2 linked regions of the Danio rerio genome follow. Each later gene encodes a partner of the first gene's protein in a complex. Links are inferred from orthologs where the notes say so. Each region holds a gene or a part of one and is shown on either strand. Other genes may lie near its edges. The genes, in order: ccnc and med20.

The links.
Region 2: ccnc (region 1) and med20 share a complex: the UniProt entries of both Homo sapiens proteins name them as parts of the mediator complex. The link is inferred for Danio rerio from reciprocal best matches to the Homo sapiens genes CCNC and MED20.

The regions. Positions count from the first base shown.
Region 1 is NC_133179.1:6,195,772-6,200,291, forward strand, and holds the start of ccnc (cyclin-C), read right to left. Parts: upstream 2,840-4,520; 5' UTR 2,750-2,839; coding exon 2,718-2,749; intron 2,219-2,717; coding exon 2,112-2,218; intron 974-2,111; coding exon 889-973; intron 712-888; coding exon 642-711; intron 42-641; coding exon 1-41. Other genes in the region: ngs (notochord granular surface), read left to right, coding at 3,674-3,924. UniProt on the Homo sapiens protein: Component of the Mediator complex, a coactivator involved in regulated gene transcription of nearly all RNA polymerase II-dependent genes.
Region 2 is NC_133197.1:574,011-578,457, reverse strand, and holds the start of med20 (mediator of RNA polymerase II transcription subunit 20), read right to left. Parts: upstream 3,129-4,447; 5' UTR 2,903-3,128; coding exon 2,889-2,902; intron 1,560-2,888; exon of another isoform or gene 1,401-1,559; intron 413-1,400; coding exon 267-412; intron 1-266. UniProt on the Homo sapiens protein: Component of the Mediator complex, a coactivator involved in the regulated transcription of nearly all RNA polymerase II-dependent genes.

The sequences.
Region 1 (4,520 bases):
GCTGCTGAAATAAGCCGAGTGTTTGAAACGACACCAAATTCCTGTTGACAGCAGAATTTTAGTGTTAAAATGCAGTTTCAAACATCTTTCAGCAGAAATCTGAATAAATATTGTGTTTACAGTGCTCAGTACACCCCTCACAAATCTCTCTTTTAAGTTAATATTTTCTATAGGATGATTTACAATATTATATTTGTGCATATACATTAGTTTAGTCAGTACTGAAGTCAAATTCTGGAGCTAAAAATATAAAAAAATAAAAAGTTAAAAAAAAAGTATGATGACGGTCTAAAAATTAGGTCAAATGTATATAATAAGACAAATATTAAATAAAATTGTAAAAAATAGAATAAAAATCAAGAAAAACAAAAAAAATGTAACATATAGTTGAAATTTCAGTTTGTCATTTTTTTGCAATGTTTTGCATGACTGTACATGCATTATCTTTCTATTTCTAAAGATGATTGGTGACAAAAAAAATATTTTAATAAATATATCAGTTTAATAAATCTGTTTTGTTCAAATATGCCAAAATCTATTACCTATGATGACTGAGACATGGTAAAAAAATATTTATTTTCAAAAAATGTTTTACTCATTTATGCCAAGCACTTTATATTATATACAGACAGAGTATTTACCTCTACTTTAGAGGCCAGAAACACACATGTTGGGGCCATTAACACAGGGTCAATGCTCTTCAGAGAGTACCTGAAAAAACAGCCAAGAGTTTTTCCTTTTATTTCATGAACTAAAGAGTACTTAAATGAAAGCCACAGAACAAAAATAGAGCACCACATTACATGAAAAACACAAGAGCCTAGATGAATCTAGAAGAGGAATCTTTAGAAGAAAACAAGCTTTTAATGATGGCACTGCACTGCTCACCTGGCATAGAAACGCTTAAAGTAGACAGTTGCCGTGGCGATGACCTGCTGTCTGAGTTTCAAGTGTTCGCCCAAGGCTTGAATCACTGTCACAAGAGGACGAATTAAACATTTTAAAGTGTTTAAGCTGTTTAAACTTTTAGGCTTTAAGTTAGCTTTGCATTTAAATCCCAAAACCAAATACAAATGAATACAAAACAGAAAAAAATATATACATTTCAATTAACGCTCCACAGTATATGTGGTAACCTAACACTTGGTCATATGGTCAAAAAATTAAGGCTCTAAGCATCAAAACATAAAGTGCCATTATTTTTCATACATTTACAGATAACTCCCCCTAAAATGTCTAACATCAAATAAATCTTGAAAGATCAATCATCTGATGATATATTAACAGATAACAGTGTAGCCCAAAAGTATTGTTATTTAAATATGTTAAAATGACAAAAAAGATTTACCAATTGTCAACAAAACTTATTTAAAATACAACAAAATTGAACAAGATCACCTATTGTTTGCATATTTTTAAATTATTACTACATTTAAATGATATAAATACCTTTGCAAACATGAAAAATATATATTTATCTATTACACCAAAGTATGAGGAAACAATATTTTCACAAAAGCTATTTAAAGCATGAAAGTAGACACTTTACTCATAGTTAATATGCTTACTATGCATAATAAAAACTCATGTTAATAAAAGTTGTTGCACATTGTCTCTTAAACCCATCTATCATTAATTGATCGCTCATCAGATGAGAGACTTTTATTGATTCCTAAATTTAGATTGAAATCTCTGCAGCTGCTGCTACACTTTGGAATGATTTCCCCGTCTTCCATTAGATTAGCTGCAAATCTGTTTCGTTTTTAATCCAAGTATAAAAACTATCTTGTTTGACAAAGCACTGAACACATGAATAAGATTTAGTTCATATTTTACTGGCGTTTAACCACGTAAAAGCTTTTAATTAGCCTTTTTATTTACTTGTTTTTGACTTATTCTTGCTGTTTGTGGATTTTAGTTAATGTTAAGCACATCCGTCAACATGGGTTGCTTTTAATTATGCTATATAAATGAACTGCCATTGTCATATAACATGAGTAAATACTATATTGTTGAATATTTTGGTCTTGCTTTGCACTTAGTCTAGAAATACAGTTTCAGATTCAGAAAAGAGAAAACAAAACAACTAAATAAGCAATTTCTCATCAAACCATTGGCAAAAAATATCTGCAGTTTCCAGTACTCCTCTTCTGTGAGGAACTTGAGATCTTTCTGTCTCTCCTTCATCAGATCCTGCTTGTCCAGAACCCACTGCAGACTGAAAAGAACAAAGACACTTTCAATTCACAAATCATTAAAGTGTAACACACATATATTAATATTTACGTGTAATAAATACACTCTACAAGTCAAACAACAAATGTATCAGTCACTTCATATCTGGATATTAGCATTAAAACATTACTTTAATTGAGTTTATAAATGTAAATTTAATGTGTGAAAATGAATTCACGTAGTAAATAACCGATATTTATGCAAATGATTCACAAATTAATTTCTCTGTGGTTTCTTCACTAGCCAGACAGCTAAAGCTAATAAGTCAACGATTTAAACTATTAGATTTATAAAAGTCAAATAATCTAACCTCCGTATTTGAGTCTTGGTTATGACCAAAATGTGGTACTTTGTTCGCATTAATAATTCAAATATGACAATTGAAATGTTTTTTTATATCTCTTATGGTCCCGTAACCGCAGCAAAACCCCCAAAAATCCTTTATTGTGCGTGATTTAGGTAGTAAATACGAAAATACTTACTAATGTGAACTCTGCCAGAAGTTCCCTGCCATCTTGAGGTAGAAAATAAACCTTAATGTGCTGTTAAATTGTGTTTAAAATAATCGATGCTCCGTTCAGATCAGATGAGGAGCGCGACAGAAAAAACACTCCGTGGAACTTCAATGTGAAGATTAAAACGGTCCGGGAGGAAACAAACAAACGCATCAGTTCCGGAAGAGTTTTTGCGGACTTTACTGGCATCAACTTTATATTTATCTAATCGAAATTATTTTAATATAATATGATATAATATAATATATTATAATATAATATAATATAATATAATTAAATATAGTATAATATAATACAATATAATATAATATAATATAATTATAATTAAATATAATATACAATATTATAATTTAATTATAATTAAATATAATATAATATAATATAATATAATATAATATAATATAATATAATAAAATATAGTATAATATAATACAATATAATATAATTAAATATAATATACAATATTATTATTTAATTATAATATAATATAATATAATATAATATAATGCAATATATTATAATATAATGATATTGTTTTGTATTAATATAGATTCTCATGTTTTTTGTCTTTGACAGCCATAAACAAACTTTACATTGTCATTTTTTTATTACATTATCATTTGTTTTTACCCAATATACAAGGCTACAGTGACCATAAACCGTTAATTTATGATTAATAATTAGCATGCACCTCCTCGATGAAGTCAACACCAGGCTACTGTCAATCTCCAAAAAGTTTTCGACACTTTTAGTGCAGAGAATGTGATTAATAAAGATCTCAGGCATCAGGAAAACTCGCTCCTCTATTTTTACTGCGGTAAAACTCTTCGCGGTGACCCGTCAGATTGTTCAGCAGCGGGTTAAGTTCAAGTCAGCCCGAGGTTCGAGATTCCTCTGCGGGACAGCAGGTATAAAACTACCGCATGAATGAGTGTGAGGATACAATCACACGCTTCTGTTTCAGGACCACCGGTTTCAACATGAGCTACAGCCCGGAGAGGATGTCTTCTTACCGCAGGCACTTTGAGGGAGGCCTGGCCGCCTCGTCCACCCTCCAGGTCCGGGTCTCCAGCCCTTCTCCAACTCGCGGGGCGACTAGACACCGGTCCGCCAGCTATTCCCGCAGCACCGGCCGCAGAGCGCTGTCCGGGACACGCAAATCACGCATGACCAGGTAAAGAGACATCTAATGTAATATATTTAATGTTCTCTAATAAACGTGCTCATACTCAACAATCAAATACGTATGTAGCCTAAATAAATAATAAAAAATTTGACTAAGTTTTAATTTTAGGAAAAAACTTTACCATAGTATTTCACTGTGTTATTTGTAGCCTAACAAATGTAATGTAAAATTAATGTTCTGTACTGTAAGTGCTCATACCGGACAATCAAATAATGATGTAGCCTAAAATATAATTAAATATTTTACTGTGTTTTTAAGAAAAATATTATAATTTTACTGTGTTATAATCAGTAGCCTATAACAGATTTAAGTTAAAAATATGTAAATCAATAATTAAATATTTTAACTGTAGGCTATATATTTTTAGGAAATAATAGGCTATACTTTTATTAGCAGCCTGACACCTTTAATGTAAAGAATAATGCAGAATAAATAAGGAAAATAATATATTATTACTGTGTTATTAGTAGCCTAACACCTTTAATGTAAAGAATAATTTATAATAAATAAGGATAATAATATAATTTTAGTAGTCTAATTTGAAGAAACTGTATGTAAAAATAATGTCACTTTATGAGATATAC
Region 2 (4,447 bases), on another chromosome or scaffold:
TATATATATATATATATGTGTGTGTGTGTGTGTGTGTTTATAATAAATATGCTGTGAATATACGTTTCTTATATTCTTTTCATTCTATGTGTGACATCAACTAAGGGTTAGCGCAAAAGTAATCTAAATGTAATTTAAAAAGTAGTCCGGATACATTACCATAAATGTGTAATCTAACTGATTTATATTACTGACTACACATTTTGTCATGTTATTTTAATCTGTAACAGAATTTGGTTTAAGTAATCCAAGAGTTGTGTTTTTACCGGTGGCATTTCCCGTAGCGTGATACGTCTCACAGTCCACCCAGAAGTTCCCCTGTTTTACGGCTCCCAGCTGCTCCAGCTTCCTGTGGAGAAGATCCACCGTCTGCTGGACGCTCTTACCCTCGGCCACTGGCACCTGACAAACACTGACACAAACACACACACATTTGAGACGTTTAATTTATTTACAATTAAAAACAGTTTCAAAATGGTAGTTTACTAAAGCAAGATCATTCTGATCAGTGTAAACATCAATAAAAATAAATAATAAAAATAATTGTGCGAGTCTGTGTGTGCATATGTGTAATGTCTGTCTATCTAGCTATATAGATAGATTGATATACTTGAGTAATTCACCTATGAAAACCAAACCCCAGGGGTCCGTTCTTCGTACATGCATTACTCAGTTATTATATAACGGATTTGGTTATTGACGATTTGACATGTTCCAGGATCGTTACGCTCTTCAAAACTCATCTGAGAGCTGTTGTCCTATCAATAGTTCTGGTAGCTCAAACCTGCTGGGGAGCAGCAGCTTGTTTCATATAAACAGGATAAGATCGGTTCAGTTCAAGCAAAGATAATACTGAAACTATGTAACGAATTCTGATCTTTTATTACAGTAGTTATATAGTTATATACACTTGGGAAAATAGTAAATATATTTTTTAACTATATATATATATATATAAGTTAAAATATATATAAATAAAACTTATGCAATCTGCACTCCGAAATAAAAGTACAAATACTGCCACCTGGTGGATCAAAGAGAAAATTAATGCAACCTTTTTTTATAAAGGAATAATACATTCATGCAGGTATTCGGTAATATGACTGGGATTTAATGCCTTCAAAAAAGTTGCAGACATCTTTACCAATAGTAAAATGCTTTTGTGATGCAAAATTAATTTAAACATCCTGTTAATCTTTATACCAATTAAGAAACCGGCTACTATAATACTAATATGGCGACTGTAATAAGGAAAATCTGCTCTAACAATAAAATAAATTGCTGAATACTCTTGACACATGAATGTGTAAAAAAGCCTGCAGCTCACAACAAACATGGGAAGTTATTGTGTGTCATATTTAACAAACCGTTTACTAAGAATTTTAAATAATTTTGCTCACATGGAGAATTGAATATTGATCAGATGATGTCATTGCGCTGCTGTGCCGTCAGCCAATCGCTGCATTGCTGATCATGATTTTGGGGATGGATAAATCTGCCCTTCACAACACACGCTGATCTCAGATGTGCATCCAGACATTTTAATCTAATTCACGAACCTGTTTGAGGAACCAAATTAGCCAGAGATCAGTTATCAAGATGAACAGATCAAGGATCTGCCAAATCATCAAGATCATTTAAGCAACGTACGGACCCCAGCTCAGCATTTCTGTTTGTTGTCAAAACTGACAGCTGGAGGGGCGTGGTTATGAATGTTAGCCCCGCCCATTGCCTAAAACCAATAGTATCTGGATGCAGCCTTTGTGATGCAAGCTGAGATTGCATCTCTTAGTGATGCAATGTCGGACACAATTGAGCTAGTGAGGTCACTTTGAGGGGTGGGGTTAGGTGAGCACATTAAAGCTGCAGTCACACTAGAGCTTGCGTGTGCGAAAGTCCGCCGTACGGCGCTGCGAAAAGGGGCGGGATTAAACAAGATGATTAGGCATTAATAAAGCGAGTGATTGCTGCATGTGTTTCATTTCTGTCCAGAGAGCTCATGTTGATCCTCGATTGGTCTCCCGCAGTCAAGTGATGTGATTTCGCAGGTCCGACTTCACCAAGGTTGAACTTTGCACTGAAGTGACCTGCGAAACTTGACGCATGACCCTGCGTTTCCAGTCTGACGCATTCGCGTGTATGAATGAAGTCTATGGTGAGAAAAGCCCAGTGTAAGCACAGCTTAAAGTATTGGATGCAGCTCAGATTGCATCTGCACCAGGTCTGCAGCCAGACCCCTCTCTCAAAAACACACCATCTGATAATTTAACTGAAAACAAACAGGAAGAGCATTTTCAGATTTCAATTAAAGATTAGAAGGGCAAACTATTACATTTTCTCAATAATATGCACAGATGAATTATTCACCACAGAACTAGCACTGTGAGCTAACAACAACAACAAGGCTAGTTTTCATTTCATGGGCACTTTAATAAATTTTAAGACCCCGCGGACTCCCTGAACACTACTTAAATGAGTGCTTGTAAACTACAAAACTTGTTAAATGTTTTTTTATATGTTTGCAGTAAATGAAGCTGATAATCTTACACTTTTTTTTATACAAAACTTCGGGAAAACCTCGTCAAATATCCTTATATTTCATCTTAAATGTTAGTTTGAATGAACACGTGCACCTGATAATAATAACAGGCCTTCATTGTGTTCTACACAACACTAATAACAGTTTTGTAAAGTACTTTTAAGAGTGACATGTGATGTAAACATGTATAAAGCAATAAATAGACTGATGAATGAGGAGCAAAAGCCTCTCTGTGCATTCAAACAGCGCTGAACGGGAGCATCAGGAGCACCAGAGAGACTCAAAACAAGCACAACTGAAAATATTAATTATTTGAGGACAATACTTTATAAACAAAAGTGTTTCTCACCACGTTACACCCATTTCTTCGAGACAAACTTCCGCAAGCCGGGGTATTTACTTCCGGATCACTCGAGTTTGCGTGAAACACGCGAAATCAGTAAAAGTAAAACACTTAAATTCGATAAAATAAAAATATTAACAATCATTAAATTCATGTAATATAAAAACATTAGCCGCGCTAAAAATGAACAGAGCCGAGATCTGCCGAGCCTCGAGCGGAAGTAAACAGTGTGACGCAGCGCCGCTCTGGGATCAGTAGTTCTGCGCGCTCCAAAACAGCGCTCATCTCTCCAACTGCTCTCAGAGCAGCACTACAGACATATATCTATGTATACACACACACTCTCAGCGCCATTGCTCTCAGACCCACGTGTGTGCAGCTCTCCGCGGCGCGTCATGTGTTCAGACGCGATTTCACACTCATAATTCCTCAGACAGACAGGCAGATAATACTAATATTGATAACCGTCATCATGCCGAAGGTGAAGAAGGCCTGGAGCGGCGGCGCGGTGCCCCTGGCCGAGCAGATCCTCCAGCGGGACTCAGTGCGCTGCAGCGGCCGGCAGAAGCAGCGCGGCCGCGGGCAGGAGGAGCAGCAGGAGTTCGTGGATGAGAAGCTGAGCCGGAGGATCCTGGAGCAGGCCCGCAGACAGCAGGAGGAGCTGCAGGACACAGCCGAGGAGGAGCGCAGGACACCGGCGACCAGACTGGGTGAATGCTGCACTCACTGACTCTCTCTCTGTCTGTGTCTGTCCTGTTTTACCAACTGTCTGTCTGTCTCTCATCTGACTGACTGTGTGTCTGTCTCTCTGTCTGTTTATTTGTGTATCTATATGTCTGTCTATCAAACTATCCGTCAATCTGTCTGTCTGTTCCTCCATCTTTCTATCCATCTGTCTATGCCTCCATCTGTCTCCGTTCGTCTGTTTCTGTCTATCCATCTTTCTGTCCATCTGTCTATCTCTCTGTCTGTCCTTCCATCTTTGTCGGTTTGTCTATCCCTTCCTCTGTCTTCATCCGTCTGTCCATCTGTCTATCAATTTTTCTGTTTGTCTGGTCTGTCAAATCCTGTGTCTGTCCATCACTTCATCTCTCTCTTTCTAGCCATCTGTCTATCCATCTTTCTGTCCTTCTGTCTATCCCTTCATCTGTCTATCCCTCTGTCTATCCATCTTTCTGTCCTTCTGTCTATCCCTTCATCTGTCTATCCCTCTGTCTATCCATCTTTCTGTTCGTCTGTCTATCCCTCCATCTGTATATCCATTTTTGTGTCCGTCTATCCCTCCATCTGTTTATTTCTCTATTTTTCTGTCTTTTTGCCCATCTGTCTATCCCTCCATTTGTCTGTCCATCTGTCTAACCCTCTGTTTGTCTATCCCTCCATCTGTCTGTCTTTCTATCCCTCTGTCTATCAATCTTTCTGTCCTCCTTCTTTCTATCTCTCTGTCTGTCTTTCCATTTTTGTCGGTTTGTCTATCCCTTCCTCTGTCTTCATCCGTCTGTCCATCTTTCTGTCTATCTTTCCATCTTTGTCCATTTTTCTATCAATTTTTCTGTTCGTCTGGT